Linked DNA regions of Oryctolagus cuniculus. The protein of the gene in region 2 purifies or fractionates together with the protein of the main gene of each other region. This does not show direct contact. Links are inferred from orthologs where the notes say so. Each region holds a gene or a part of one and is shown on either strand. Other genes may lie near its edges.

Region 1 (7,235 bases), on a different chromosome or scaffold from region 2:
GAAAATATCCTATGGTACCTCAAGTATATGAGCTCCCTTCCTCCAATAGTAGCACTTTCCTTTCCCTCTTATGGCTAGTAATTAATTTTTTTGTTGTTTTTAAGATTTATTTTATTTATTTGAAAGAGTTACAGAGAGATTGCAACTATGATTGCAACAGCCAGAGCTGAGCAGATCCAAAGCCAGGAGCCAGGAGCTTCTTCCAGGTCTCCCACCCAGGTGCAGGGGCCCAAGGACTTGGACCATCTTCCACTGCTTTCTCAGGCCATAGCAGAGAGCTGGATGGGAAGTGGAGCAGCCAGGACTCAAATCAGCGCCCACATGGGATGCCAGCGCTACAGGCCGGGCTTTAATCCTCTGGGTTCCTGTGCTGGCCCCTAGGAAGTGATTTCTATATAGCAAACACAAAACCCTTCTGAGGACAGAAAAAAACTCCATCCAATATTTGGAGACAAGGAGGCAAGAACCTATGGCGACTCTTCCCAATACACGGAAAATATACTAGTGAAAGTCATCAGGAATTTCCAGCATAACCATGTGTGTGCTGGAGATTCCCTAACACTCCAACCAAAGGACAGGCATCATGTTACTTCCAGTGTGGACACTTTACCCAAGTATCGGTGGAAAGAGAAATTGTATCTACATCGCAAACCATAAAACAAAACGGAAAATAAGAAATTAGTGTAAAGGATACAATCTCAGTATTAATGATGACTTCCAGCCCATTCGGATGAAAAACGCCACTGATGTTCATGTTGAACTTGTCAAACTTGTGGATGGCCTGTGCAGAGCGGACATCCCAGAGGACGCCATCATTTAAGACAAGATCATCTGTAGGATTAAAGGTGGCACAGTTCCTCTTGTAGTTGTTAGCAAGATCTGGGTTAAACAGAGTCAACAGCTTGTTGCCAATCTGAATATCATAAATCTTTAGAGAAGAAGGGGTGGGAAGAGAAAAATCAGACCAAACCATCCACTGACAAATTTAAAGAGAAACTGTTAAATATCTCTCTCATGTATTCTAAATCCTTCCCACTGAAATTACAAAAGCTCTAATAGTGTAAAGTAACTGGAAAGTGGAAGATCCAATCCAAGCAAAGTTCAAGTACTTTGGTTCCCATTCAAGGCTTGAATACCCCCTTCCTATGATAGGAAAATGAAAAGTGAAACTGCATTAAAGATAAGAAAACTCTTCTTCCCTTTTCCCTTTTCAAGAAACAGAAAAATGTTTCTAAGATAAAAACTGAGAAATTCTCCATATGGATCAATCAATGATTACCCACAGAATACTCTCTAAGGGTCACTTTATAAAGAAAAACATCTAAGAAATACTCTTTTCTTCTTAAAACCTCCCAATATACCTATTTTAGTCCACCTACTAAGTTTCCAAAGGCTACAATGCACAACTCATGCAGAGACCAGATCTTTCCCATCAGTTTACAAGTGTGCTATAATATTTCCTATCTCTTTAAAAAAAAAAAAAAAAAAAAAAAAAAAAAAAAAACTCTTTTGATTTGGAAACAAATAAGGAAACACCACAAGGAAACAAACATCCAGATCATGGGACAAGACAACTAGCCTGGTCTCTTCAAAAGTCAGTGCCATGAGAACTGGAGAAAGGGTTCTTGGCTTTTAAAACATTAAACATAATAACCAAATGCAATATGTGAATCTTGGCTGGATCCTAGTTCAGGAAAAAAAAAAAAAACATATATGAAATCAAACACATCAAGAACACCTGGAAAAACTGGGCATGGACTGGATATTAGATGATATTTGAGAACTACTCTAATTTTCTTAATTTGGATATGTGACTATGTAATTAAATAGTTTTATTGTTAGAAGATACATGTTCAGGGACCGGCGCTGTGGCATAGCGGGTAAGACCGCCGCCTACAGTGCTGGCAACCCATATGGGCACCAGTTCAAATCCCGGCTGCTCCACTTCTGATCCAGGTCTCTGATATGGCCTGGGAAAGCAGTGGAAGAAAGCCCAAGTGCTTGGGCCCCTGCACACGCATGGGTGACCTGGAAGAAGCTCCTAGCTCTTGGCTTTGGATCGGTCCAGCTCCAGCTGTTGCAGCCATTTGGGGAATGAACCAGCAGATGGAAAGCTTCTCTCTCTGTCTTTGCCTCTCTGTAACTCTGCCTTTCAAATAAATAAAAATATTAAAAAAAAAGATGATGCATGTTCTGTAATGATGCTTGTAACTCACTTTCAAATTGAGAAAAACACATTCATAGAGAAAGTATGGAAAAATATTAAAGTGATGAATCTAGGTAGTGAACACATGTACCATTCTTTCCATATGATTTTAGTATGTTGTAACATTTTCAAATGAAAAGTTGAGGGAAATCCTCCCTTTACCATGCTAAATTCTCCCCTCAAGCTATTTATTACTCTACTTCTCTGCTTTGTATCCCAACAAAATAATTTAAAGGAACTAACTATACTCAGTGTGTCTATTTCACTCCTCCTATGAAACCACTCTAACCAAGATTTTGTCTGATCAGTGTACAGCCTATATTTTAAAGATTTATGTACTTATTTGAAAGGCAGAGCAAGAGAGACAAAGGGGGAGAGAATGATCTTCTATCCGTTGGTTTACTGCCCCAATGGCCACAACAGCCAGGTCTGGGCCAAGCTGAAGCCAGAACTCCACCCTGGTCTAATGAGTGACAGGGGTCCCAATATTTGGGCCATCACTGCTGCCTTCCCAGGCATATTAGTAGGAAGCTAAATGGGAAGCAGAGCAGCTAGGAGTTGAACTGCTACTCTGATATGGGATGCTGGCCTCCCAAGAAGCAGCCGAACCCACCGTACCACAGCCCAGGCCCCAGAACTATTATGTATAACTAAATATAGTTGTAACTATATAATAACCTCTATGTTGTTCAACGCTCCCACTCAGTTCTCATTCTTATATTCAACTCATCAGCAATTTCTGACTCAACTGATCAATCATTCCTCCAAACGCAGTCTTCCCTCGGCTTTTAGGTCTTTTTCCTGGGGTTTCCTTTTGACTTTCTGGTCACTCTCTCTGGTCTCCTCCCTAAGATCCTCCTTATTTGGCAACTTCTAAACACTGGCACATGCAAGTGCTGTCCCTACACCTCTCCTCTAGCCCCCTTAATCTCATCCAGGTTCACAGCTATAAATATTGATATAAGCACTACTCTCCTAATTTTAACCCCCATCCCAGACTTCTCAACTCCCCATCTGTACATTCAATTCCCAGTTAATGTCTAATAGAATCTCAAACTTCACATATCCAAAACCTCAGGACTACGGCCCATCATTTTTCAAGGCCTCTGCATGTCTGTCTGGATCATGCCCCATTATTCATGATACAATATCCTCCTGCCTGGAAGGTCTACTTTTGCTTCTCTCACAGAAACAAATCATGCTTTAGGTTTTCATATCCAGTCATATATCTTCTGCCACCCTCCAGTTGTCTTCACCTTCCTCAGAAGAAAAGCTAAAGGTCCCAACTACCTCCTCCACGATGCTACGGGATATGTACCCATCACTGACCTTAGCTCTTACCCTCTTCTGCCTCACAGCTCCCAAACAAGGCTGTTTCCTGGCTACTCCCTCTGCCTTAGAATGACACCTGCACGACAGTCACAAGTCCTTCAAGGGCTCTGCTTAAACAGTATCCAATCAGTGAAGCTAACAAAACAGTCCCTGACCACACTATCAAGCATTTCTTCCCTCTTACACTGCTTCTTTCTTTTCCTCTGCAGCAACCAACCATCTAACATGAGCCCAAAAATGCAGGGATTTTATCTCACCTAAAACTTGGTAAGAACTCAAAGATATCTGCTGTGCTAACAGCATCTTCCTCAAGCTGCAAGATTAAGTTCAGAGTCAATTATTTCATTTTTCCTATATAACTTAAAACTACTTTAATACACTTCTAGAGTTTAACTGGAAGGACTATCACTATAATTTCTAGATACCCACTAAGTCCTCACATTCAGTCCAGAATATTTCTGAATTAACAAATGAGCAAAGTGAGCGTGAAAGCAGAGGTTTCTCCAGCACTTACGTGGGCAATGTCTCCCTTCGTGCCTATGACTCGATCCTGAGAGTGCTTACTGAACTCAACATAGTGGTCTTCTGTGAAGGAATGCCTACGGACAAAAGCACTGAGAGGTCAAGATGTTCAAGACAGACTCCTGCACACACTGCAGCCTCTTAATGCCTTGGCTCCCACAGAGGAAACGCCTGTACAGTGAGATTAAAAACATTCCCTCCAGCAGTGTGTCTAAGCATACCCTGACAGGGATTCCTTGGTTGGAAAAATGACCATAGGGCACATGTGCCTTTGAAATACGAAAGATTAGAATGTAAATGGCCCATGTGAACTTGGCAAAGTATAAAGATGGCCATTTGGAGTTAAGTGAAGGATCTGCTGCCCAAATGGGCAAGCATATACTTTCCAGGAGCATCTAGAAATTAAAAGATAAAATTTTATTAAAACATAAGCCTAAAATGAAGAAGTTAACAATAACTTACAGCATCCTACTTCCCAAAAGGCCTCTAGTCCAACAAATAGATGGAGTATAAATTATATAAACAAAACACAGGAACACCAGACTACAAAAGCAGATACATACTTCATATCAAATACTGATTTCATTCCCCAAAGTGCAGACAAAGGCTGGCTCCAAGTAGCAGATGTCAGCAGCAAGGACCCGTCCTGAAAGAAGGAGGCCCAAGGAGGGTAAACGTGGGTTTATATACATGTAGATGTTGCTATCTACCATTAGTATTTTTAAAATATTTACATAAAAGCATTACTGGATTAAAGAGAAAAAGAACAACTTTCAGGAGCCAAGAAATAATCAGAAGTCACTAAGATTTAAATACATGTACCTGCAGTGTACTAGAAAATAAATTTAACAGCACATTAAATCCTTCTGAGCTCGTAACAAAAATATAATGGCTCCAAAGAAAAGAGGAAGAAAACTTGGAAAGACATCAAAGATAACCGGTTCTCTTGATACGGCACACTCCTCAGTTTCCCTTGGAGTCCAGTCGATTTCACCTAGACTTTAGAGGTAAGGATTCCTCACAAGAAACTCCAATAAAAGAGGAGTTCACCAACCCATCTTAGAAACGAGAGCATCCAGGAGGAAGGGACCCTCACCCTAGAAGGTTCAAGGTGTGTGATAGCCGAGTTGTGACAGTTGTAACTGGCCTCCTCCTGTCCACTAAACACATTATAGAGCTTCAGCTGCCCTGTGCAGGTGCCAAGCATCAGGAACCTCTCCCGTGCTGAGAACGCACAGCAGGTGAAGCCACTCTCATCTTCATTGGCTTCCCGGAACACTGAAATAGGACGGAATCTAAGCAAAACAAAAGAGAATCAGAGACATAGAATGTGCAGGGACTCAAAAAGAAAACTTGCTAGAAGGACTTAGGTTTGAATAGGTGTGAAATAAGTTCTTTAAAATATCACACTAACCTTCACTGGTTCATTTTCAATTTTAAATGAGAGAAAAGGACCTCCACTTACAAATTTAAATAACAAAAATTCCCACATTTAGGGGCCAGCACAGTGGATAAAGTCACCGCCTCCAGTGCCAGCATCCCATATAGATGCTGGTTCAAGTCCCAGCTGCTCCATTGCCAATCCAGCTCTCTGCTGCGGCCTGGGAAAGCAGAAGATGGCCCAACTCCTTGGGCCTCTGCACCTGCATGAGAGACCTGGAAGAAGCTCCTGGCTCTAGATCAGCCCAGCTCCAACTGGGGCCATTTGAGAAGTGAACCAATGGATAGAAGAACTCTCACTACCTCTGCCTCTCTGTAACTCTTTCAAATAAATAAATAAATCTTAAAAAAAAAAAAAAATCCCACGTTTAAAACTGTGATCCCTTTCCATGAGACTTTTAAGGAATCACAATGTTCAAGGAGGCATCTGATGCAGCTGGTAACATGCTGTTCAGGATGCTCACATTCCGTATCAGAATGCCTGGCTGAAGTCCTGACTTTGATTCCAATTCAACTTCTTTCTACAGATCGCTGCCCCAACAAGTGAGATCAAGATTGAGCTCCTGGCTCCTGACTTCGGTCTGGCCCAGCCCCCGCTGTTGCAGGCATTTGAGGACTAAACCAATAGATGGATCTGTTTCTGTCTGCTTTTCAAATAAAAAGAAAATTAGTATTTTAAAAAATTCACATCAGAAGGCATTTTGGACCAGCACAAAACGAGCTAAGATCCTGGTTAGGGAGCATGGGCTCTCCAGTGGTAACACATTATTCAAGTATTGCCACTAATGACATAAGGACTCTGGTAAACAAAAGGTGACACACACTGCTTATGTACTGATGTGACAAGGAATGGCATTTCAGACCAGGAAATGGCTGACTGGACTAATCACTCTATGCAGACATCACCCCAATACTCTGATTTAAATAATTTAAATAATTCCAATTCCCAGGATGGGAGAGGGCCTCTTCTTACCTGCTAAAGATAAGGTGCCTATCAAAGCATCCACCATCTACCCCTCCATACTTTGGAAATGATGCCCTGCGGTTTAGCCGTGAGGTAAAGTTTATTGGCGCTTGCCGCCTCTGTTTTGGCTCAGGACACTGGTGAGGAGTAAAGAGAGAGAAAGGTGGGCAAGTAGCAACTGGGTTCTTGCATCGAGCATGTTGCTCTCTAAGAAACTCTGTGATGATACTGTCCAGCGTAGGCGGGGAAGGAAGATGTCTGTCCAGCTGCTTTTTTATGGCTGGGCTTTGGCTGTAGGCGCCATGGTCCGACTTTTGCCGCAACACTCTGATTTTCCTGCCATTGCAAGGTGATGGCCTCTCTCTGATAAAACTGATCCTACCAATCAAAGGGGAGTTGCCTGCATAAGATGGGCCAGGCAAAGCTAGTGAACCCTGAGGGGGCCGTGGCTGAGGATGAACAGCGGGGGCAGAGGGGGCAGAGGCACCCACGGCAGCATGGCTGCCCAGTCGAGTTGCAATGCCATTGGCAATTCGAGGGGTTCGGGGAAGAGAGACAGGTGAAGCAGCAGCAGTTACTGGGGTGAAGGCAGAAGAATGGGAGGCAGCAGTCATGGGCAGGTCGGCCTCTTTCGTCAGCACCGTCGCTGTTTCTCCAAGCCCTTTAGAAATGAGATGGTTTCGTATCAACAGAAGTAGCTCTTTCTCAGGGAAGGAGATCCTTGACTGGGCGACAACATCTGCCTTCTGCAGTCGTGCTAGGGACACATCA
Region 2 (7,684 bases):
ATGAGCCTGCCCACGCCTGAGGGTCGGCTGCCACCTGGGCACACAAGGAGGGCAGCCCCACTGGCCACGAGGATGGCGGCCCCCTGCCTGCAGCGGCTGCCCTGCCACCCAGACCCAACCGTCACTGGCCACGTACGCAGCTCAAAGCCCTTGTCCTTTGAGGCCATTCTCCAGCCCTGGGTCCTGCAGCCTCCATCTGGAACTCTTTCTCACCAGCGTCTGAACTTGGCCTCTCGGCTGCAGGGCTGTGACCTTGACACAGGTCCTAAGGGCGTGCTGTGTGCTTTCTGCTTGCCCACGGAGCAAAGGCTGCACACACAGTTCTGCTGTAGACAACCTGCCCAGGCTAGCAGAAGGTGGGGCAACACGCCCCCCCCCCCCAGTGGGGCCCAGGCCATCCTGTCCCGGGTGTGAGGCGGGGCTGGGGCGGCCTCCACTGCCCCCACTCCCCACCCTCTCCCTCCCACACAGCCCCCGGAAGGCTCACCCGTGAGGGCTGCCCTGGGTTTCTGGCTCATCGGCCAGCAGGGGGGGGAGCCCCAGGTCAGAGCCTCCCTGGCCCGGCGGCCCCTCTGCAGGAGGTCAGAGTCCCAGCCGTGGACCCCTCTGGGCCAGGCACCTTTCCCCCCTCAGCCTTTGTAATCACTGTTGACAGACTGCAACTTAGCGGCTTCTCCTACAGGTGCAGGGCTGTAGACATCACTGCAAGGTGTCCAACCCGCTTGGTTGGGGCCGGGGAAGGCGTGTGTCACAGGTTGGGAGGGCTTCTTTTATAGAGTCAGGACATGGGGGTTAAAGGTCAAAGCAGGCCTGCTCCTCTCTGTTGACCTTTAGGCACCTGCGGGGACCTTGACAAGGACTCTCCTTCCCCGGAAGTGTGGGTAGGGCCTCTCCATTCCCTCCTTGTGCATCCCAAAGCTGCCATCCCGACCTTCTGATGACAGGAAAGGGGGCGACGATGAGTCTCTGGCTACTTCCTGCTGACTGGGGACGATGGGGCACTCTTGGCTGGCATGGGGCGCTGTCTCCTGGGTGGGGAGCTGAGTATATCCCCGTAGCAGCATTTGGTTGACCGCCTGGTTGCTGAAGGCCTTGGTTCGTTCCATTGTCACCTGCTGTAAACACTTACACAGACACTGGTCTGCAAGTCAGGGTGAGAACAGCAACCAATGATCCTAAGAGTGGCACTAACCAGGTAATGAAAGGATTTCACAGAGGAGAGGAATGGGAGGGGTCACTGGACCCTTGTGAGGACGGTTTGATGGACGTGGTTTAAATCTGATCCCAGCCGAGACCGGGAGAAAGGCCACTCAGCTTTTGCAGGTAGCGGGTTTGTCTGTAGGGAAATTCTGAATAATCATGCAGATTAGGTGGAGGAGAGGACCATCAGTGCACACAGGTCGGGAGCAGAGTAGAGGCTGTGATCACAAAGGAAGGAGACCCACGTGGGCAGACAGGGCCTGGTACAGAGGACAGTCACTGTCAGAGGAGCTGAGAGAGGTGCTGGCTCCGCCAAACAGAACCTGACAGAGGGGCCTGATAACACTCAGGTGGGCTTCAGGCCTTGTAAGTTAGGAGGCCAGACCGGTCTGTCTCTTCACAGGGTGCCTCCCAAGGGGGGTGTGCACCTCCCTGGGGAAGGCACCCTGTCGGCTTCCATTACCCAGCTGGCCTGGGAGGAAGCTGGCGTCTCCAACAGGAAGTTTAGTTCTCCCGCAGCGTTGCTGACCCAACCTCAGCAGCGGTGGTCACCCTGGAAGCTGGGCTGAGTGAGGGCCTTTCAGCTTGGAGCCAGCAAGGCTGCGGCTCTGACCTGGGCGTCCCGACTCCACTTCCAGCGACCCAGCTCCTGGCTGGCAGGGCTGGCGGGCTCTCCACAGGCTCACTCTGCTGAGGCCCGGCTCACCTCCCCGAAAGCCCCTGCAGTGGACTGGCCCGCTGGGTCTCCGAGGGCAGATCCCTGCACGGGGCTACATTTCACGGCCGGCCACCCAGCTTCACGTTTCTCACTTGTTGACAGACCAACCTAGAGGCTTCCGTGCAGGCGCAGGGCTGCACAGACACCACCAAGACGGAAGCTTGAAGCCTTATCATCACCCCAGACCCACTACCAGTCACCCCCGCCCCACCCGTCCCCGGCCCAGCCGGCTGCTTCCTCTCCAGGGACGCGCCCGCTGGGGCATCTCACCCCGCACACCAGGGGCGCGTTCCGAGGACAGAGGCGCCACCGGCCCACCGCCATCCCCTCCCCCGCCTCTCACCGCTCGCCGACCCCACCCGCCCTGAGCTCGCAGGGCCGGCGCGTGGGCGCCCCAAGTCCAGCGTCACCCACGCGGTGCCACCACGCCAACCCCTGCGCTCGGGTTTGGTCCGTGAGGAGCCGGGGAGGGGCGCGCAGACCGCGGCTACCGCCCTTCCAAGCGCACCGAGCCATGGGACTCGCCGGGCACCTGCGACCCCGAGGCTGGCGGGCGCGCGTCTCAGGGTCAGGCCCGGCCAGGTCGGGGTGGGTGGGGGTCTGCGCGGCGCCCCGCGGAGATCCCGCCTAGCAAACCTGAGCGGACACGCACAGCGTGAGGGCGGGTCGGGCTGCGGGGAGACGGCGACACCCATGACACGCCGACCCCTGCGGCCGCCTCTCCGGCTTCGGGACCTGCGACCCCCGCGGGTGCCTCCAGCCCCCGCACCCGTGTCCCCGCCGCAATCCGCCATCGCACCCCTCGCGGAGATGGCGCAGCTCGGGGAGCAACAGAGAGGGAAGCCCTCCATTTCCCTCCATCGCCTCGCCCTGCCTCAGACCAGCGGCCGGGCCTTTAAACGCGGCCCGGGCGCCCCCGGTCCTGCGCAAGGGCAAATCTGCACGTACAGGGCCTAAACTCCACGGCCGTCCCGCTCCCGGGCGGGACCCGGGGCCCGGCGGCGCCCGCCTCGAGCCTCGACCGGGGACGGCGCGGCCCCGTGACCCCCGCACACACGTGCCCGTGCTGTCCCAGCCACTTCCGCTATCGAACGTCCCTCACCTTCCTGTCCTGCGCACTGGGCGACCTCGGGCGGACACAAGCTCCGCCCTTTCCGCCGGCAGCCGCGCGCCCCGGAAGTGGTATCCCGCGACGGCTGGCTGGTCCTCCCAACCACCGAGAGGGCCGCCCAGAGCGCCGGCGCGCTCTCCCTCGCCGCCTCCTACCCCTGCGGCAGCGGCGCCCCGGGCCGTGCCGGGACCACTGTGCGCGTGCGCAGGAGTGCTGGGCCGCGGCGACGGCGTGGTGCGTCATCGGGGTGCGACGCCCGAGGGACTGTGCGGGGTTTGCCTGGCTGGAAGGTGCGGCGGCGAGACCGGGCGGGAAGATGCCAGTGGCGGTGATGGCAGAAAGCGCCTTCAGCTTCAAAAAGCTACTGGATCAGTGCGAGAACCAGGAGCTCGAGGTAGCCGCGTGCAGCGCGCTGGGAGGAGCTCCGGGGCCGCCCCGGCCTCCGGGCGGCGCCGGTTTCCAGGGTAACGGGGCCGGGGCGCGCGGAGAGCGGGCGCGGGACGCGGGCCCGGGCGCCCCGCACTGCTCGGGCCGGGCGGTTGCTCGGCCGCTGCCTGGACGCGTGGGGCAGCCTCTCCTGCCGGCCTCGGGGCCCGGGCCGCGGGCCGTGGGGGCCGCCCCGGGCGCTCGGTGTCTGGGGAAGCCAGCGCGGGGTGCGTGACCCGCGGACACGCACACGCGTGGAGGGAGCGGTGCCCGGCGGGCCGTGCTCCGTGCGGGCCTGGGGAAGGCGCCCCGCAGCATGCCCCGGAGCGGCAGAGCCGGGCGGGGCTCGGGAGTAGGCCGAGCTGTGTCTGCAGCCGCCGGCGACTGACGTTTCAGCTTTTTGTTGTTATTTTTAAATGTACCCGGAAGGCACCGTTAGAGGTCTTCCGTCCCCGGCTTCACTGCCCAAGTGGCCGCCAGGGCCCGGGCTGGGCCAGGCTGGAGCCGGGGGTCTCCTCCGCGTCTCCCACGCGGGTGCAGGGGCCCCGGGACTCGGGCCATCTCCCAGGCCACAGCAGGGCGCAGCATCGGAGCTGGAGCGGCCGGGTCTCGAACCTGCGCCCATCGGGCCGCCCGTTTGATCCGCTGAGCTGCAGCCCCACCCCGGAAGGTTTCGGGTTTTTTTCTGGCGTGGGTAAGAAAGGAGGCTGTGCTCTTGCGTTTCTGGCGTTCTAGGCTCCTGGAGGAATCGCGACGCCCCCGGTGTACGGCCAGCTGCTGGCTTTGTATCTGCTGCATAACGACATGTGAGTACCTTTAGCGACCCGCGGCGGCCGCCCCGGTTCCCGGGAGCCCCGAGCGCTCTGCTGCGGCCTCGCTGCGGCCGTTCCTGTGGCGTCCAGCGGGTGGTGGCCGGCGGCCTGTAGCTCCTCCTAAGGAGGACAGCGGGTTCCTAGGGAGACGCAGACGGGCGGGCGGCTGCTTCCCTCCCGGGTGCCCCGGGGCCGGGCTGGTCCAGACCACAGCTGGGAGCCCACTCCCACGAGCCGGCCGCCGTGTGCGCTGGCAGGAAGCAGAGGCCGGAGCCGCAGTCGCGGTGAGGCCGGCGGTCTGGGGCCCTGGGGCAGGCGCTGACCCCGCCCGCGGGCTGCCGCCGTCCATTTCCCGCGGAGCCTTCGGAGAACCCTCAGGTCCGAAAAGCAGCGCGGAGCCTGGGAAAGTGCGGGCGCGTGACCTTTTTAAAGGATTGTGCTCTGACCTGGGCTCAGCCGAGGGCCCCTGTTGTCGGCAGGCCCAGAGAAGCTGCCCGGAGGCCGAGGGCCAGCAGGGGTTTGCTGCCCACAGCCGAGAGCTCCTGGGAGCCGTCTCGTAGGGGGGACCCGTGTCTGCTCGCTGGAGGGCAGAACGCCCCCGGGTGGCTGTCGTTCTGTGACCCCAGGGGCGCCTGACGGTTTTCCTCTAAACTTCTCCGAGCCCTTTCTGTCCTGTCGTCCTAGAAGCTGAGCTGGGCTCCCCGCGTCCGGCGTGTGAGTGGCCCGCTTCGCTTCCTGTGGTCCCATCGTAGGGGTGTCCTGGTCCGGGTTTCTCCCCGGATCCCCCTGCTGTGGAGGTTCTGGGGGCAGGGCCCTGTGTGGGGCTGTGAGGAGGACCAAGCCCGGGAGCCCGGGCGTCTTCCCTCCGGGGAGGCAGGACCTGGGAAGCGCGTTCTTATCTGGGTGAATTATTTGGGGAGTTCTGTGTAAATCTTTGTATTTTTGGTGTTGGCTTAATTTAGCATCTGAATCATTCCTTCAGAAATTCACTAAAAATGGCAGAATGTGACGTTGATGAACTATTTCCTGTCTCTTCGTCTGGAGAACTACTCGTAATTCCCCAGAACAAGTTCACATAAAATATGTTTGCTCTGTACTGTGCATAGAGTATTTTGATTAACTCCTGTCTGTTCTCATTAGGACCTAGTAATTTCCAACATTTTTACTGACCGCTCTTTGCGCTGGTTTGCATTAGGAATAACGCGAGATACCTCTGGAAGAGAATACCGCCTGCCATAAAGTCCGTAAGTGTCCTTGCCCTGCGCTGTGTTGCTTCCACGTGGTGATAACGTTCTCTGACCGGGGAATCCCGTAAAGCGCTGTTCCCGTCCCGTGTCACTGGGGTTAGAGGAGAGAACCGACCTCCGGCGCTGCAGTCAGAAACCAGAACTTCCCCGGGATGGCGGAGGGGTCGGCTCGGCTCCCGGTCATTCCAGCCACGCCGCTGAGCCGGGCCACGCGAAGGGCTGGGCGGTGGCTGCAGGGGGGCGGGGGGTTCAACGGAGCTGTGCAGGTTCCTGAAGCAGGAGTGGCGTGGAGACTGGTGGTACACTGCTGTTCTGAAATGGTCATTCGCAGCGCTGGGACTGTCTATCCAGTTAGGAGAGTGGGCTTCTCGTTTTGGGTGGAGAAGCAAGTGAAAGCTGCTTCCGAAGTGGGCCGCAGTGGTCCTTGGGTTTCGGGTGGGTCAGTGCCCGCGTGAGTGGTCTCCACGTGGGACCAAGAGTCCACCTCAGGTTGTGCTCAGCTCTCAGCCGGGCACCGGATTAGTGCTTTAACTCCCATCCTTTCCCATACCTGCTGTGAAGTGAGGTGAAAGAGGGTCCCCGTGGTGGAGGCGTGAGGGTGGTGGCCTCCTGTGGTGGCCTGTGCTGACCTTGGCTCTTGCTCGCGTCCCCAGGGCATCGTGTTATGTGTGTGGGGACTGCAAACAGGGCACCTTTCGAATCAGCTGCCCGAGATACTTAATCCCCAGGCTTAATCCCGAGCATGTTTGGATTACTTTCTCAGCCCTTAATCTGTTGTGGTAATAAACACTTACAGCGAATGAATAAAGAAATTTTGCGTTACTGCTCATGCTGCTTAAAAACCTGTTTGAATGTGGTTGGACTGAAAAAGTGATTGCATCTCTTAAAAGGAACGTGAGATTTTGTGTTGATGATGCAGCTAACACGTTGTACGTCTTTCTGACTTTCGCTTTAAGACACAGTTGTGGCCGGCGCCACGGCTCACTAGGCTAATCCTCCGCCTTGCGGCGCCGGCACACCGGGTTCTAGTCCCGGTCAGGGCGCCGGATTCTGCCCCGGTTGCCCCTCTTCCAGGCCAGCTCTCTGCTGTGGAGGATGGCCCAAGTGCTTGGGCCCTGCACCCCATGGGAGACCAGGAGAAGTACCTGGCTCCTGCCATCGGATCAGCACGGGGCACCTGCCACAGCACGTGGCCATGGCGGCCATTGGAGGGTGAACCAACGGCAAAGGAAGACCTTTCTCTCTGTCTCTCTCTCTCACTGTCCACTCTGCCTGTCAAGAAAAAAAAAAAAAAAAGACGCAGTTGTTTCCAGGATGAGCACTGTCAAAGGCTGTGACGTGTGTTCCAGGCGAACTCTGAGCTCGGGGGGATCTGGTCGGTGGGACAGAGGATCTGGCAGAGGGACTTCCCCGGGATCTACACGACCATCAGCGCTCACCAGTGGTCCGAGACGGTGCAGCCCATCATGGAGGCACTGAGAGGTGCGTTTCTTTGTGTTGGACGTTGCAGCAGGCCCTTCCTGAGGCTGCAGGGCGGGAGGCGGGTGGGGCGCTGGTGAGCGCAGGTGAGCGGCAGCTTTCCGAGCTCCCGTTTTTATTTTGTCCAGAAAGTGCCGCCAGCCTTCTCTTGCTGAGGCTGCATCAGCAGTTCAGGGCTTCGTGTCTCGGGCTGGTTCCAGGTTGAAATTGCTCCTGGCAGGGAAAGGGCTCTCCGCTGTTGCAGGAATCCCCGGAGTTCACGGCCTGAGGGGTGGAAGGTTAGAATCCCCGCCGGAGTGCAGACGGTCATTCGGCCTCGGCAGGCGTCTGGCCGGCGGCTTCCAGGCGAGCAGGCTCAGGGCGGCTCGGGCACGTGCAGGGGCTGACGCAGCGATGTGGCCGACAGCAGGAGGCGCTCCTTGACACTGGAGTGGGGAAAGCAGGGGTGCAGGGCAGGTGAGGGAGCGAAGGGAGGAGGGGTGCGGCCGGGCGGGTCCCGTAGGGGCAGTGTTGGAATCGGTGAACAGCCTTCACCCCTGCTGTAGGCCTGAGGAGGGATAGTGGATTTCATGGTGTGGGCTGAGCAGCCCTAATTGAAAATCTGAAGTGCCCCCAAATCTTAGAAGTGTGTGAGCACGGACAGGACCCCGCACGTGGAGAATTCCACTGCCGGCCTGTGCGCTGTGCCACA
Region 3 (7,698 bases), on a different chromosome or scaffold from region 2:
CCCTCTTCCAGGCCAGCTCTCTGCTATGGCCAGGGAGTGCAGTGGAGGATGGCCCAGGTGCTTGGGCCCTGCACCCCATGGGAGACCAGGAAAAGCACCTGGCTCCTGGCTCCTGCCAGGATCAGCGCGGTGCGCCGGCTGCAGCGGCGGCCATTGGAGGGTGAACCAGCGGCAAAAGGAAGACCTTTCTCTCTCTGTCTCTCTCTCTCACTGTCCACTCTGCCTGTCAAAAAAAAAAAAAAAAAAAAAAGAAGCTTACTGCTGATAAGACAAAGAAAAATCACGGTCAGCCTGAGCAGTGAAAATCCTGGCACACGTAATTAGGCCACATGCAATGACTGAGTAACAGCAGTGACCCCGTAACACCATACAACGCTACGAGTATGTAAGAGAAACTCCTCTGATACAGCAGTGCACGAACAGGCTACGGAGCTTGACACTACACAGTTTCCATGGTAGTCTGCGTGAGTGTGGGGTAACTGTGTCTACTGCTGCAGGAAGTACCATCAGGCATTTTCTAACCGACTACTTCTCCGACTCAGAAACCAGCTGCTTGCTCTACTCTCAGAACAAAAGAAAGGTAACGCTAAAAGTAACAAAATCACACTGAACAAAGCATTTCTTGAATCGGGAACAATCTCAAAAAACAGCTGGATCAATTTACACACTAAGTACCTGACCAGGACTAGTGCCGTGGCACAGCAGGTTGAGCCACCACGTGCAGCGTCAGCATCCCATGTGAGCGCTGGTTCGAGTCCTGGCTGCTGCACTTCTGATCCAGCTCCCTGCGAATGCACCTGGGAGAGCAGCAGAAGACGGCCCCAGTGGGAGACCCACATGGAGCTCCAGGCTCCTGGCTTCCGCCAGGTCCAGCCCCAGCCTTTGAGGCCATTTGGGGAGTTGAATCAGCAGATGGAAGTTCGCTCTGTCTCTCCCTCTCTAACTCTCCCTTCCAAATAAACAGACAAAAATAAAACTTATATTATATATATGTATATAAAAAGAAGCACCTGGCTAAAGATAGCTAACTCAAAGTTAAAATGTCAACCAATACAGAAGGATTATAAACTCAGCAGGAAACACAACATCAGTGTTTTTACTTCTTCAATATTAAAGCAACTTAGAGAAAACAGACTCCAAAAAAAGACAGGGTTCCATCACAGGCCAAAGTCCTTGCAGAGCTGACATAACCTGGAGACACCACTCGCTGTCTCAGAACTCCGGAGGACCAGAGGAACCACACGGCTAACAGTGCCAGCAAGGCTTCCCCAGGGCAAGCCGCACACAAAGCAGTGTCCGGGGCGAGTCCACCGCCGGCCTCGGCCACACAAACGACTCCCATCTGCAGTGGAACAGACACATGGCTGTTCAGGCCCCAGCCCAGCAGACACGCCGCAGCCATCCTCTAGGGCCACCCTGCTGACAGCAGCCTTCAGTCACACATAAGTCTCAGGGACGTGCTGTCCGACCCAGGGTGACAGTCCAATTTCTGCTTTTTCCAGCAGGTAACACTAGCCCGTCTTGCACACTCATGAGGTTAGGATTTAAGGGATGACCCTGTCATCAATTTACAGAAACTGAACTGAACAGTCCAGACCCAGAAACACTGCTCTTCATCACCACATTGCAGGACGCACGGGGCCTCGGCAGGTAAGGGGGACACGGCAGAAGCAGTGCAAACTTCCCTAAAAGTCTCCCGAAAGGAACCAGCTCTGCAGACAACCGCCATCTGCACTCACAAGCTCCCAGAAGGTGTCCTCGCCAGTGTCCCTCGGTTCTTTCCTTTCCTCAGCCCTTCGGCTGTGCTCACCCCATCTCATGAGTTTTAAATACTATTTAGGACTCCACAAGGCCACCGGGTGTCAAAGCACGTGACACAGGGGCCAGTAATACACGCACTACTTGCTTACAGGTGCACAAAATATATCTTTGGAAGAATATCCAAGAAACAGCCAACACTGACCAGCTCCAAGGAAAACTGACTGACGGGGACAAGTGGAGGCAGAGTTGAACTCCACACGCTTGTGCACAGTTTACACTTTCAGCCACAAGAACACAGCTTTTATTCAAAACAGAAGCACTCCCACAGGCACATGCTGATGGCCCTGCCCCACCCCGCTCTCTGCATCAGAACTCAGCTCCAGGAGCTCCAGGTCTGTCTCTCACTACTGGGTGCACGCCGCCTGCTCTGCAGCTGGTGCCTGCAGAACTTCTGCGGGACGAAGTAGACTCCAGCTGCCCGCGTCTCACCTCCACCTGCCCAGCTAGGCCCAGGCCGGCACAGGCGCTCCAACTCCACCCCACCTACCAAGCGGCTTCCCTCGGCTCTTCCCCATCCCCGCATCCCCATCCTTCCGCTGAAGCCAAAGACCCGGAAACCACCTCTGTCCCCACCGCACCGCACCCTCCTGCAAACCGCAAGTCCAGTGCGTCTTCGCGGCCAATCTCTCAACACTCTCCGGCCACGCCCTTCCCACTGCTTCTCTGCCCTTCTCCAATCTCCCGTCAGCCTAGCTTTTTAAAAAGCTCTGGGGCCAGCGCTGTGGCTCAGCGGGTTAAACAGCCCCTTGCAAGGCCGGCATCCCATATGGGCGCTGCCGGTTCGTGTCCTGGGAGGCAGTGGATGATGGTCCAAGGGCTTGGGCCCCTGCCACCCACGTGGGAGCCCTGGAGGGGTTCTGTGCTCCCAGCTTTGGCCTGGCCCAGCCCTGGCTTGTGCGGCCATTTGAGGAGTGAATCAGCAGAGGGAAGATCTCTCTCAGTAACTCTTGCTTTCAAATAAATCAGTAAAACTTTTTAAGATTTATTTATTTATTTGAAAGAGTTACAGAGAGAGAGAGAGAGATCTTCCATCTGCTGGTTCACTCTCCAATTGGCCACAACACCGGAGCTGTGCTGATCTGAAGCCAGGAGCCAGGAGCTTCTTCCAGGTCTCCCACGTGGGTGCAGGGGCCCAAGGGCTTGGGCCATCTTCTACTGCTTTCCCAGGCCACAGCAGAGAGCTGGGTCACAAGTGGAGAAGCCGGGACTTGAACCAGCACCCGTGAGAGATACCAGCACTGCGGGCGGCAGCTTTGCCAGCCCCAAATCAGTAAATCTTAAAAGTAAAAATAAAAAGTTTCAACAGGTCTTTGGTGTGCTTTAACAATAAAAGCCAAACTCCTTGACAGTGAGATAAGGACTCACATGACCTGCCCTCTGGCTATAACCTAAACATTTTTATTCATTTGTTCCAAATGCAGAGTGAGAGACAGAGAGGGAGGGAGAGGGAGGGAGAGGGGGGGAGGGGGAGGGAGGGGGAGGGAGGGGGAGAGAGAATCTCCCAGCGCTGGTTGGTTCACTCCCCAATGGCCACAACAGGCAGGGCTGGGCCAGGCCAAAGCCAGGAGTCAGGAACCCCATTCCGGCCTCCCATGTGGGTGCCGGGGCCTAAGCACTTGGGCCATCCACCGCTGCCCAGCCAGGCGCCACCAGCAGGGAGCTGGATCACAAGTGGAGCAGCCGGCACCCAAATGGGTGTCCCCGTCCGATGCTGCTGAGGCTCCCACGGGGGCCGGCGGCCTGGAGCGGTTTCCAGGGCCACTCCTCCCCGGAGCACAGAGGGTCCTTCTCAGGCCCCGGTCAGACGTCCCCTTAGCGAGGCCTCCGCTGCCCAGCGGCTGCGGCCACTCCTCCTCCACTCCTGGGGCTGCCCTTACCCTGTCTTAGGCCGACTCTGCCCAGCCGGGAGGCCGCACACCTCCGGCCTCCAGCCTGCCGCACGACCCCCAACGAGCCCATCGCCCAGCAGCACTAACCCGGTGTTACCTTCGTTACCTGTACTGAAGGCAAAATTCACTTCAAATTAGGTCCAGGATGTCTGATTAGCGACCCACTGGCAAGGGTAAGAAAAAAAAATGTATATATATATAGAGATAGAGAGAGAGAGAGCGAGCGAGCGAGATTCAGTCTACTCCCACTAATAAAGCAATGAAAAGTGACCAGAGCCTGCAGAGTGGTGTTCCGGGTGCATGGGAACCCCTAAATACTCAAACAGGACCAGAAAGGGTATTTTTCACACATTATGTGCAGGCACGGTACAGACGTGTTGCTACCAAGAAACAGCACCTGAAAAGAAAAGGGAAAAGTGGGGGTACCTCAGAACCCGGGTGCAGTCACCGTGCACCCCTCCGGGAGGGCTGCGGAGCCCTGGAGGGGGCAGGGGAGGCCAGGCGGAGCCACTCGTGTCCGTGCCCTCAGAAACACTCCACGGACTCCAGGCTGCTCCCCCGCGCCCGCTGCGCAGTCGGGGGTCGGGGCGCTGCGCCGGGCGGGCCCGCGGGAAGAGCCCCCACAGCCCGCGGACGCGAGCCCGTGCCCCTCGCACGCGTCCCCGCGCGGGGCGAGCAGCAGGTGCGGCGGGCCGGACCCGCGGGGCTTCTCCCCCAGACCCCGGCAGCAGGCCCCGGCTGAGGCGCCCCCCGGGAGCCGCGCGGGCCGCGCGCACGCCGGCCTCCCGCTCCCGGGGAGCACCGGGCCGCCGCTCCGGGGGCCGAGGCCCGCCGCCGAGGCCCCGCCACGGCCAGCGCGCCCGGGCGCCGCGGTCCCGGCCAGGCCGCCCCCTCCCCGCGCGAGCCCCACCCGGCCCCCAACTCCCCGCCGCCGCCCGGTTACCGGCAGGGGAGGCGTCCCGGCGCCGGCAGCTCCCGTCTGCACACGCAGGGCGCGGCGCCGGGGCCGCCGGCGGGACGGAGCCCCGGCGAGGACGCGGGCGGCGGCGGCGGCTGTCAGCTCGCGCCCCCCGCTCACCGCGCTGCCATTACTGGGCGCCCAGGCCGCCTCCCCGGCCGGCCGCCGCCACCGGCGCCCGAGGGCGGGGGTGGGGAGCCGAGCCCGGGAGCCCGCGCGCCGCCGCTCACCTGCCGCGGCCGGGAAACGCAGCGAAGCCCGAGGCCGCCGCCGCCGCCGCTGCCGGGCGGGCCGGGGGCGGTGGGGAGAAGGCCGGGCCGGCGGCGGGATCGGCGGAACGCGCGTCCTCCGGGGCGCCCGGCTTCGCCCCCTACACTCACACACGCCCTGCGGCCGCCTTCTTCCGCTGCTCCCGAACCCCCCTCGCGGGAGCGATGGTACGGCCCGCGGTACGGCAAGCGCGGGGGGCCAGCCTGGCGCGGGCGCGAAGGCCGCGGAGCCCGAGCTGCGGCGTGAGTGCTGCGAGAGCCGCGCGTGACGGACCCGCGCGTGTGGGTGGGCTGTCAGCGCGTTTTCCTCGCACGCGGCCTCCACCCCGCCCCTGCCCGCGGTCACCGGCCCCAGCCCCGTCGGGCCCGGTCGCGGAACCCCGAAAGCGCGGGCGCCTCCATCCGCGACTCCTCCACGCACAGCCGCGCGGGGACAAAAGTCGCCGGCGGCCCCCACGCGCGGGACGGACCTGCGCCCGGCACCTGCGCCCAGCGCTCCCGCCCCTGCCCTGGACGCCCCGAGAGCCGTGGTGGGCGGGACGCCGGCGCTTGTCGCGCTCACTCTGCCTCCCTCTTTTTTTTTTTTTTATAAAAAATATGATTTATTTGGGAAGCACAGTGACAGAGAGAGGTCTCCCATCTGCTGGTTCACTCCCCAGATGGCCCCAACGGCCAGAGCTGGACCAGGCTGAAGCCAGGAGCTCCTTCCGGGTCTCCCACGCAGGTGCAGGTCCTTGTCGGCTGCTCCTGGCTCACCCTAGCCGTCGGGGAGTGGACCAGCAGGTGGAAGACCCGTCTGTCTGTCTGTCTGTCTGTCTCTCTCTCTCTCTCTCTCTCTGTCTCCCCCCCATGTCTCCCTTTCTCCTCCTTCCTGTGTCTTCCTCTCTCTCCCTGTTAACTCTTTCAGATAAATAATTCATGTTTTAAAAAGCAGCGTGGACCCTCGCGTGCGCCCCTTCCTGGAGCTGTGTCGAGGACCAAGGCGGTGGGCGCGTCTGCCCTCGGGGTTCCTCGCCAGGGACAAAGTCCAGCTCTCCTGTGAACTCGCCATGTTGGGTTTGACAGCTTCCCTGATGAGTCTGTCGTGCTAGAAACACACGTGCCGACTTTTGCATGTTGTGTGATGGAATACGAGCCCCGTGGAAGGTCTGCAGGACTTGGTGCACCGGTGTTTTCCAAACAGCCAGGCAGGAGGTGACCAAATCAAACGTCGCTGGATACCAGATGGACCACCGGGCCAGCGTCATGGGTGAGCTGCTGCCAGCAGCACCAGCATCCTGTATCCGGCTCCCTGCTAATGCACCTGGGAAAGCAGTGGACGACGGCCCAAGTGCTTGGGCCCCTGCGCCCGCGTGGGAGACCTGGATGGAGCTCCAGGCTCCCAGGCCCAGCCATTGTGGCCATTTGGGGAGTGAACCAGTGGGTGGAAAGATTTTTCTCCCTCTGTCTCTCCTTCTCTTTGCAACCCTGCTTTTCAAGTAAAGAAATAGATCTCAAAAAATAAATAAATAAATAAAGGAGAGAGAGAGACCAATGAATGGATATGCAAGGGTACTTCAGAAAATTTGTGGAAAAAATAATTTTCTTTTGGTGCAAAATTTTTTGAGATCTGTATGTATGTATTTTCCATAAACTATTTTTAAAAAGATTTATTTATTTGTGTGAAAGGCAGAGTTATGGGACAGGGGGGGAATCTTCCATCCACTGGTTCACTGTTGCAACAGCCTAAACTCTGCCAGTCTGGAGCCAGGAGCCAGGAGCTTCTCCCAGGACTCCCACATGGGCGCAGGGGCCCAAGCAGTTGGCCCATCTTCCACTGCTTTCCGAGGCATTGCAGAGAGCTGGATTGGAAGTAGAGCAGCTGGGACTCGAACCAGCACCCATATGGGTGCTGGAGCCGCAGGGAGCGGCTTTACTCAGAACACCAAGCACTGGTCCCTGCCATGAACTTTTTGATGACTCCTTGTATATGTGCATTTATAGGCACACATAAATTAATACAAATAACAAATATAAAATAATATAAAATAACAGAGTTCACTAATAGGGCTTCATATTCATTACTGCAACTAACATAGAAACTACCATCAAAAAAGAATGCCCATAGTTATTCAAAAACAAATTCTCCCTCTAAGTCCTGGGTTTCTTCGTATGCTTCAGTCATGGAAAATCCAGTTACTTTCTGTTAAGCCAAATATTTACTGATACTGACTGGCAAAAATGTGAGCCCAGGGCCATTCTTCTCACTGAGTTGTTTTAATTGGGCAGCCGTTGGCCACCACTTGAGACACCTGCATCCTGCATCCCGGTGCCGGGTTCAAGTCTCAGCTCCACTCTGAGTCCCACTTCCTGCTGCTGTGTAGTGAAAAAGCTAGTGATGGCCTGAGTGACTGCGTCCCTGCCACTCATGTCGGAGACCAGGATTGATTTCCGGGCTCCTAGATTCAGCCTGGCCCAGCCCCAGGTGCTGCAGGCATTTAGAGAACGAACCATAACTGGAAGATGTCTGTCCCTTTCTGCCTCTCTCGGCTTTGCAAGTATATATATATATACACACACACACATATATATATACATATATATATACATACATATAATTTGCAACATGTAAATTTTTGTAAGAGCATGCAATTTTGTTTTTGTTTTTGTGACAGGCAGAGTGGACAGTGAGAGAGAGAGACAGAGAGAAAGGTCTTCCTTTTCCATTGGTTCACCCTCCAATGGCCACCACGGTCGGCACACCGCGCTGATCCGATGGCAG
Region 4 (7,235 bases), on a different chromosome or scaffold from region 2:
CAGCACTCCCTGATCACTCACCCGCCACACACCAGAGAGGAGAAAGGTCGCTGGGCTCCGGCCAGACAGAGCCCCTCGGAGGGCTGGGTCACCAGCTCTCCAAGTACAGTAACACGCCTGTGTGCCAGTCCCACAGTGCCCCTGCCCCAACCCGCAGATTCGGATCCTTTTGGCCCTTTGACAAAGTGCCGCCTCTTCCCGCCAGGCTTGTCCCCGTTTGTAGGCTCCAAGCGGATGCTTGCCCCACACCTTTAACGTCACTCATTTCCGTGCCCCAGCTTCTTCCTGGCTCCAAACGAGAATGTGATAACCTAAGAGAAGTGAGAACGCCTTCCGTTATCCATCTCTGAGGGCTTGGGGCTGGCCCTGAGAACCTAGGGTCCAGTGAGTAAATACTAGGGGACAGGACAGCATCCAGGCACTACCATGACCAAGACAAAACAAGAGGGAGGGAGGCCTAGGCCAAAGAGACTGTCTCCCAATGGTCTGTGCTGGCTGCAGCGCTGGGGTAAATGGACAGGGCCCAGCTGGTTATTCTGCACCGAACCTGGCATAGCAGGGAGGGTCGGGCGTGGCTGGTCTGTCCTGCTTCTACTTACCCATTGTGGAGGCCAGTGTGTCCCCCATGGGATTGAACTCGTTAAGCTGCAAAGACAAGAGTATCAGCATGAGCAGGGTGAAGGAATCAGGAGGCACAGGGCGGGGCACAGAGGACTAACTCCGGGTCACTGGGGTCAGTAATGAGGTAGATCGAATGCTTGCTTCCTCCCATCAGTATTGGAGGGCCCGAGTCTCACCGAAACGATCCCAGAAGATTCTGGGTCATAGAGCTGACACATCATCTTCCCTGAGCCTCCGTCAAACATGTCAATCGTCCTTAGTTCGTAGGGAGCGCAACTTTTGAAATTAGGATCTGGGTACCGACCCACGACAATGAGGTTGTACCGAGGGTGCCAGCTTGCCTGTAAGACGGAGAGGCTAGTCAGGGGAATAAACACAGAACGCCCTCGAGGGACATCAAAACCATTCTTTGCTGCTAACAAGCCAACACCGCAACAGAGGCGCTGCGACCCACGTGCAACTGCAGACTTCTAATCCCCCGCTGGCCTCCCTGGCCCCTGGACACCTTGAGGCCTTCTCTCCTGCACTTCCTGCCGCTTTCAACATCAACCTGGCCTAGGCGTTAACAGGTAGGCCTACAACAAAGTGAACGGCCTGTGGTAATCAGAACTACTTAGGACAGAAATCTGAAGTAACCCCACTGCCACCCCTCCGTCAGCGTGGATAATCAGGAGCTGTGTGTAAAATCACTCAAGACTGAAAAAGGAAAGGAACTCCAGTAGCCCAGCCTACCCCACTCATCCAGAAATCACAAATTGGATGGGATTTTCCTGATACAATTTCTCAAGGAAGTTTTGAAGGAGCAAAGATGTGGTTAGCAGGAAGGAAGAAATGGTACCACTAATCACAGACGGCGGGTTGGCCTGGCTGGATACGAGGCGGCAGATCAGGACAGATGGATTAACAAGAACACCAGCTGAGGAAGGATTCTTGGGATTCCTTAGTAGGTGCTTGGATATGATTTGAGGTACGTGCGGTACTAAGCGGTCATCATTTTCTGAGTACTCACCCGGTGCTAGGCATGGTGCCAAGTGCTTTAAGTACACTGATTCATCCTCACAACAACCCTATCAGTTAGATACTATTATTCCCTTTTTACAGATGAGGAAACGGAGATCCAAAATGGGAAAGGAAGGGACTTATTTCTATTATTAGAAGCCACCTAAACCTGCAAGACAAACTAAGAAGGTGAAGGTTAGTTTGTGGACCCACACACACGGGTAACTGAAACCGAGAGGGCAGGGCAGAAGCTCAGCATTCTGCACATGCTCACAGGTCAGGGCTGGGCTGAAACTCCTGAGGGAGACAGCTTCTCAGAGAGACAAAGACGGCCCCACCAACTGGACTTGCAAACGTGGCATAAAAGGAACAGAGAGCGCCGAAAGGCTGAGAGACTGTCTGCTGGGGCAAGAAGAGGTCTGGAGCTGCAGGCTCACACGCCTGCCCCCTCCCCACCTTGGGCAGACCTGGTCCGTCCCCACGCTCTCCACTCCCTCTGCGCGTTCTCGTCACTCTGTCACTCACCTTGATGGGAGTGAGGTGCTGGAAGTGCCGGTGAGGATGCAGGATGAGGCCCACGGGGCAGTCCCACTGGGAGGCAGAGTAAATCCGGAGCTCATTCTTCTGATCCGTGGTCAGGAGCCGGGCTCCGTCAGGACTGAAGCAGGCTGGGGAAGTGACAAGCACCTAAGCTGCAGAAACCGGAAGCCCCGCCCCCGTCGGGCCGCTTCTCGCGGGGGCGCCCTCCCTCTGACACCTCTGAGATGGGGGGAAAGGGCAGAGGTGAACCAGGGCTGTGAGCAGAAGAATTCTAGAAACTCAGTAGCCCACAGGAGATCTGAGACACTGGGGAGAAAGGGTCGGCCTAGCAGCTTCCAAACTTCCCAGGAGGCCCCGGAGTGTTGAGACAGGTGGGGTTCACACCTGAGTTGACAGGATGCTTGTGTGGCAGCGAGCAGAGGAAGCTGGCTTTCCCTCTAACCTGGCGCAGGTCCCAGATTTTCACTGTTTGGTCTACGGAGGCTGTGGCCAGTAACCAATCGCAGCTCGGGTTCAGAGCCACATGGGTCACTTTCTTTTTGTGCATTCGGAGATTCCAGAGCTGCAGAGGAGAGCCCGGCTCAGCTGGGGACAGAGAACTGAGGTGGGGGGAGGGGAGGGAAGGCGCGCCCAGGGCTCAGAGCACGCACCTCTTTACCGTCCATGTTCAGCAGGAACACATGCCCCATGTTGTCTCCTGTGACCACCACTCGGCTTCTGGCAGACACGTCCAGGCTGCAAAACCACACGCTGGAAGGAGAGACTGTACTGTGAGATTCCTGGGGCCAGAGACAGGTCCTTTAACTCACTGCTGCAGCTCCTGGGCCTAACCCGCGGCAGGCGCTCAATAAATATTTGTTGAATGAATGAAGTATCTGTCTTACCATGGATTCCCAGGAAGAACACTCAGTCTTGTCTACCAGCCAAACAGAGGGAATGAGGGTGAGGGGGGCTCCAAAATGTGTCCAGTCTCTGCCGGGCCTAGCGTCCTGAGCCAGGGAGAGTCCCAGACGCAGTGAGACCTCGGGCCCTAAGGCAAGCCTCCTGGCTAGCTGGGCCCCACAGCTGCTAGAACCTCGGTCTCCTTTCTCTGCCTTCCCTCTCCACCTTGGGGCTAAAGGAGAAGACACGCCAAGCAGAAACTGCCCCGCTGTGCTACTCAGAGCTGGCCGGAAAGAAATGTCTGCCCCCTTCTGAGCAGTTAGGGTAAAGCACACACGACCTGCAGCCCAGATGCACATCTGTTCCCCTAAACCCTCAGAGCCACGCTAGTCTGCCTTTTGGTCGTTCCCCTTCAGGATCTTTAAGCGAGAGGGTTTCTTGTGGAAGACCAACATGGAGCTGAGTCTAGCCAGTCACCTGTCCCTGTGGGGCAGCCCAGGAAACCCAGTGCTAGCTGTCAGACCCCGCCCCTCACCTAACTCCTTAGGGAGCAGGTAGACTTGGGTCTCTGGCTAGAACGCGGAGGGACCTGCATTTTTAATTCCTCCAGCCCCTTGCTCTTGGGGAGCCCGGAGCACTTTTTGGACACTACTGGATCCACTGAAGCTTCCACCAAGGAACTGGTGAGTTCCTCACCCGCCAACGAACAGAAGGAATTGCGTCTGAAGTCCTAAGTGCCTGCTCCACCCTGGGCCACCACCACGTTGACTTGTCTCGTGAGAGCCAAGGTCGAGCCTAACACAGGTGTGACTTAGAGAAAAGCCGAGAAGAGCCGAGGCTCCAGAACACCTTCCCAAAGCAGGAGCCCACCTGGACGGCAGTCAGAGTAGCCAGAGTTTGAAAAAGGGAGGGAAGGGTGGAAAGTGGCGAACGCCTTCTCGTTCCTCCTGGCCAGGTGCAGGTAACAGAAGCGGGGTCAGGATGCTCTCGCCAGGACTACACCTGGAGCTGGAAGCCCTTGCCATGCTAGTTCGGCTACTCACTTGCAGGTGTCTGAGCTGGTAAAAACTCGGAGGGTGTTGCCTGTAAAGTCTTGCAGCCTAGTTGTTCCCTCCATTGAGGAGGCGAAAAACTGGTTGGTATTGAGAAGGTTAAACTTCAGCCCAGTGATGCTCCCTCCAGCTCCAATCTAACACGAGGAAGGAAAAAGCCAGTGAGTGATGAGGGGCCGGAAGCGAGGAACCAGGCCTGGGCACGTGGACTGTGCTTTGACACAAACGCCAGTCGGTCCCGACACCCAGACCCCAAGGTGCTGTCTCCACAGTGTGCTTTTTAAAATTCACACACAATAAATACTACTTTTGGTATACAGATCTATGAATTTTAACCCATGTACAGATTTGAATAACCAACACCAAAATCAGGATGTAGAACACACTATCACCCCCAAAACTCCCTAGTGCTCTGCTTTCCCACTGTAGTCACACTCTCCCCCTCACCCCAAAACCTCTGGCACCCACTGATCTGTTCCCCAACACTAGAGCTGCCTGCACAGAATATCACAGACAAGTCCCAGGGTCGGTGTTGTGGCATAGCACGGTGAGCCTCCGCCTGCAACACTGGCATCCCATCTGGACGCCGGTTCGAGACCCGGCTGCTCTATTTCTGATCCAGCTCCCTGCTAATGCGCCCAGGGAAGCGGCAGAGGATGGCCCAAGTGCCTGGGCCCCTGCACCCATGTGGACACCTGGGAGAAGCTACTGGCTCCTGGCTTCCACCTGGCCCAGCCCTGGCCATCGTGGCCATTTGGGGAGGGAGCCAGCAAATGGAAGGATCTGTCTCCCCTCTCTCTGTAACTCTGCCTTTCAAATAAATAAAAAATAAAATCTGAAGAAAAGAAAGAAAGAAAGAAAGAAATGCGTGCATAGTGTGCGGCCTCGGAGCCCCTGCCACTGGTTGCTGAGGCAGCGCAGTGCGGCACGGCTGTGCCAGGGTGCCGCTCCCACGCGCTCTTTCTGGAAGAGCTTCAGCTCGCACTGGCGGCAGGATAAGGAGGGCAAGAGTCAGATCCGTCCCCCTTCCTGCTTTTGCAGACAAGGAAGACGAAAACAACCACACTACCAATGGCTGGGCCACAGTAAGTACTTATTATATCCCACACACTGTTTTGTTAAACACTTCACTCTCTCAGAGCTCCTTCACTCCTCTTTATGCTACCCTGGCCTCATAGACCTGGGCAAGGTCTCCTATCCAACAACCACGTCAACAGGTTCCATCCCTCTAACACCATCGGCATCAGTGCTCACAGCCTACCAAGACTTGCTGCTTGTAAGACAATCTGTTCTCGCCGCTGGATCAGCCTCCACTACTCCATGCCGGTCCACCACCACCTTCCCTCTACCTGTCACCCAGTCTGGGAGCCCTGAATCTTTGCTGAGCTGCCACCTGCCACCACCCGCACTGATGTCCGTCTCGGCTGCCACCAGACCACCGAGGCCTCCCCACTATGTAAATACTGGTCCTGCTTGAGTCTACCATTTAATGACTTCTGGTTTCGACTGTTCAGGAAGGAAAGGGAGGAGGAAGAAGATGAAAAAGAGGAAGAGATACCACTCTTTTTTTTTTTAACGAGTTTTTTTTTTTTTTTTAAGATTTATTTTATTTATTTGAAAGAGTTACAGAGAGAGGTAGAGACAGAGAGAGAGGTCTTCCATCCGCTGGTTCACTCCCCAGATGGCCACAACAGCTGGAGCTGCGCTGATCCGAAGCCAGGAACCAGGAGCCTTCTCTGGGTCTCCCACGTGGGTACAGGGGCCCAAGGACTTGGGCCATCTTGTACTGCATTCCCAGGCCATAGCAAAGAGCTGGATTGGAAGAGGAGCAGCTGGAACTTGAACCAGCACCCATATGGGATGCCGGCACTGCAGGCGGCGGCTTTAACACGCTGTGCCACATCGCTGGCCCCGAGATACCACTCTTAAACTCTCCACAGACTAGAAAACAGGGCATAATTCCCAAGTGTATGATGTCAGTATAACCTTGTTACCCAGATCTGACAAGGACATATCAAAGTACTGGCCACTCTTACATATGAAGAGAATACAGATGTCCTATATAAAATATCAGCAAATTCAATCCAGTGACATTTAAAAAGGATAAACACACTATGACCAAGTGGGTTCATTCCAATAATGCCAGGTTTGGTTAAATAGGAAAAATCAATCAGGCATCAATGGAAAAGATCCAGAATGGAAGGGGGGAAACTAAAAAAGGCTCGAGAATTGTATATTTGATTCAGAGGTAATATTCTGAACATATAAAAGATCTCCTAAAGCTCACAAATAAAATGATCCTCAGCCCAGAGGGTAACATGACAGCCGAGATGCCTGCATTTCCACTCTGCAGTGCCTGGCTTTAATTCCAGGCTCCCAGCTCCTGATTCCGGCTTCCTAATATGGACACTGGGAGACAGTGGTGATGGCTCAAATAACTGGGCTCCTGCCACCACATGGGAGACCTGGATTGTGTCCCTGGCTCCCAACCTGGCCTGCTCAAGCCCCAGCTCATGTCGACGTCTGGAAAGCAAACCAGTGGATGGAAGATCTGTGTGTGTGTCTCTCTCTCCCTCTCTCTCTCTGTAGCTCCACTTTTCAAATAAAATAAGTAATTACCAAACTGCACTTAAAAATAGGTAATATAGTAACCAGTGGATGGAAGATACATAAGACGGTAAATGTTATATTGTTTGCTATCATAACTTTTTTTTTTAAAAAAGGCAGTATCAGTTGCTAAAGATATAATTTTTTTTTTTTTTTTTTTTTTTTTTTTTTTTTTGGACAGGCAGAGTGGATAGTGAGAGAGAGAGAGAGACAGAGAGAAAGGTCTTCCTTTTGCCGTTGGTTCACCCTCCAATGGCCGCCACGGCTGGCATGCTGTGGCCGGCGCACCGCGCTGATCCGAAGCCAGGAGCCAGGTGCTTCTCCTGGTCTCCCATGGGGTGCAGGGCCCAAGCACTTGGGCCATCTTCCACTGCCTTCCCGGGCCACAGCAGTGAGCTGGCCTGGAAGAGGGGCAACCGGGAAAGAATCCGCTGCCCCGACCGGGACTAGAACCCAGTGTGCCGGCGCCACTAGGTGGAGGATTAGCCTATTGAGCCGCGGCATCGGCCACTAACGATATAATTGTAAAAGTAA

The links.
Region 1: the proteins of COPS8 (region 2) and DCAF1 purify together in Homo sapiens (affinity purification with mass spectrometry; 4 studies listed by BioGRID and IntAct, counting the BioPlex papers as one, with this or other methods). This does not show direct contact. The link is inferred for Oryctolagus cuniculus from reciprocal best matches to the Homo sapiens genes COPS8 and DCAF1.
Region 3: the proteins of COPS8 (region 2) and CUL2 purify together in Homo sapiens (affinity purification with mass spectrometry; 4 studies listed by BioGRID and IntAct, counting the BioPlex papers as one, with this or other methods). This does not show direct contact. The link is inferred for Oryctolagus cuniculus from reciprocal best matches to the Homo sapiens genes COPS8 and CUL2.
Region 4: the proteins of COPS8 (region 2) and DDB2 purify together in Homo sapiens (affinity purification with mass spectrometry; 6 studies listed by BioGRID and IntAct, counting the BioPlex papers as one, with this or other methods). This does not show direct contact. The link is inferred for Oryctolagus cuniculus from reciprocal best matches to the Homo sapiens genes COPS8 and DDB2.

What each region holds. Positions count from the first base shown.
Region 1 is NC_091441.1:98,128,194-98,135,428, reverse strand, and holds part of DCAF1 (DDB1- and CUL4-associated factor 1), read right to left. Parts: coding exon 6,474-7,235; intron 5,356-6,473; coding exon 5,157-5,355; intron 4,707-5,156; coding exon 4,624-4,706; intron 4,138-4,623; coding exon 4,053-4,137; intron 929-4,052; coding exon 695-928; intron 1-694. UniProt on the Homo sapiens protein: Acts both as a substrate recognition component of E3 ubiquitin-protein ligase complexes and as an atypical serine/threonine-protein kinase, playing key roles in various processes such as cell cycle, telomerase regulation and histone modification.
Region 2 is NC_091434.1:3,080,985-3,088,668, reverse strand, and holds the start of COPS8 (COP9 signalosome complex subunit 8), read left to right. Parts: upstream 1-3,102; 5' UTR 3,103-3,345; coding exon 3,346-3,423; intron 3,424-3,431; exon of another isoform or gene 3,432-3,682; intron 3,683-4,190; coding exon 4,191-4,261; intron 4,262-5,462; coding exon 5,463-5,511; intron 5,512-6,863; coding exon 6,864-6,996; intron 6,997-7,684. UniProt on the Homo sapiens protein: Component of the COP9 signalosome complex (CSN), a complex involved in various cellular and developmental processes.
Region 3 is NC_091444.1:107,426,158-107,433,855, reverse strand, and holds the start of CUL2 (cullin-2), read right to left. Parts: upstream 5,040-7,698; 5' UTR 4,899-5,039; intron 4,844-4,898; exon of another isoform or gene 4,654-4,843; intron 250-4,653; exon of another isoform or gene 1-249.
Region 4 is NC_091432.1:18,714,608-18,721,842, forward strand, and holds part of DDB2 (DNA damage-binding protein 2), read right to left. Parts: intron 4,232-7,235; coding exon 4,086-4,231; intron 2,911-4,085; coding exon 2,811-2,910; intron 2,723-2,810; coding exon 2,545-2,722; intron 2,289-2,544; coding exon 2,146-2,288; intron 963-2,145; coding exon 798-962; intron 646-797; coding exon 600-645; intron 312-599; coding exon 262-311; 3' UTR 1-261.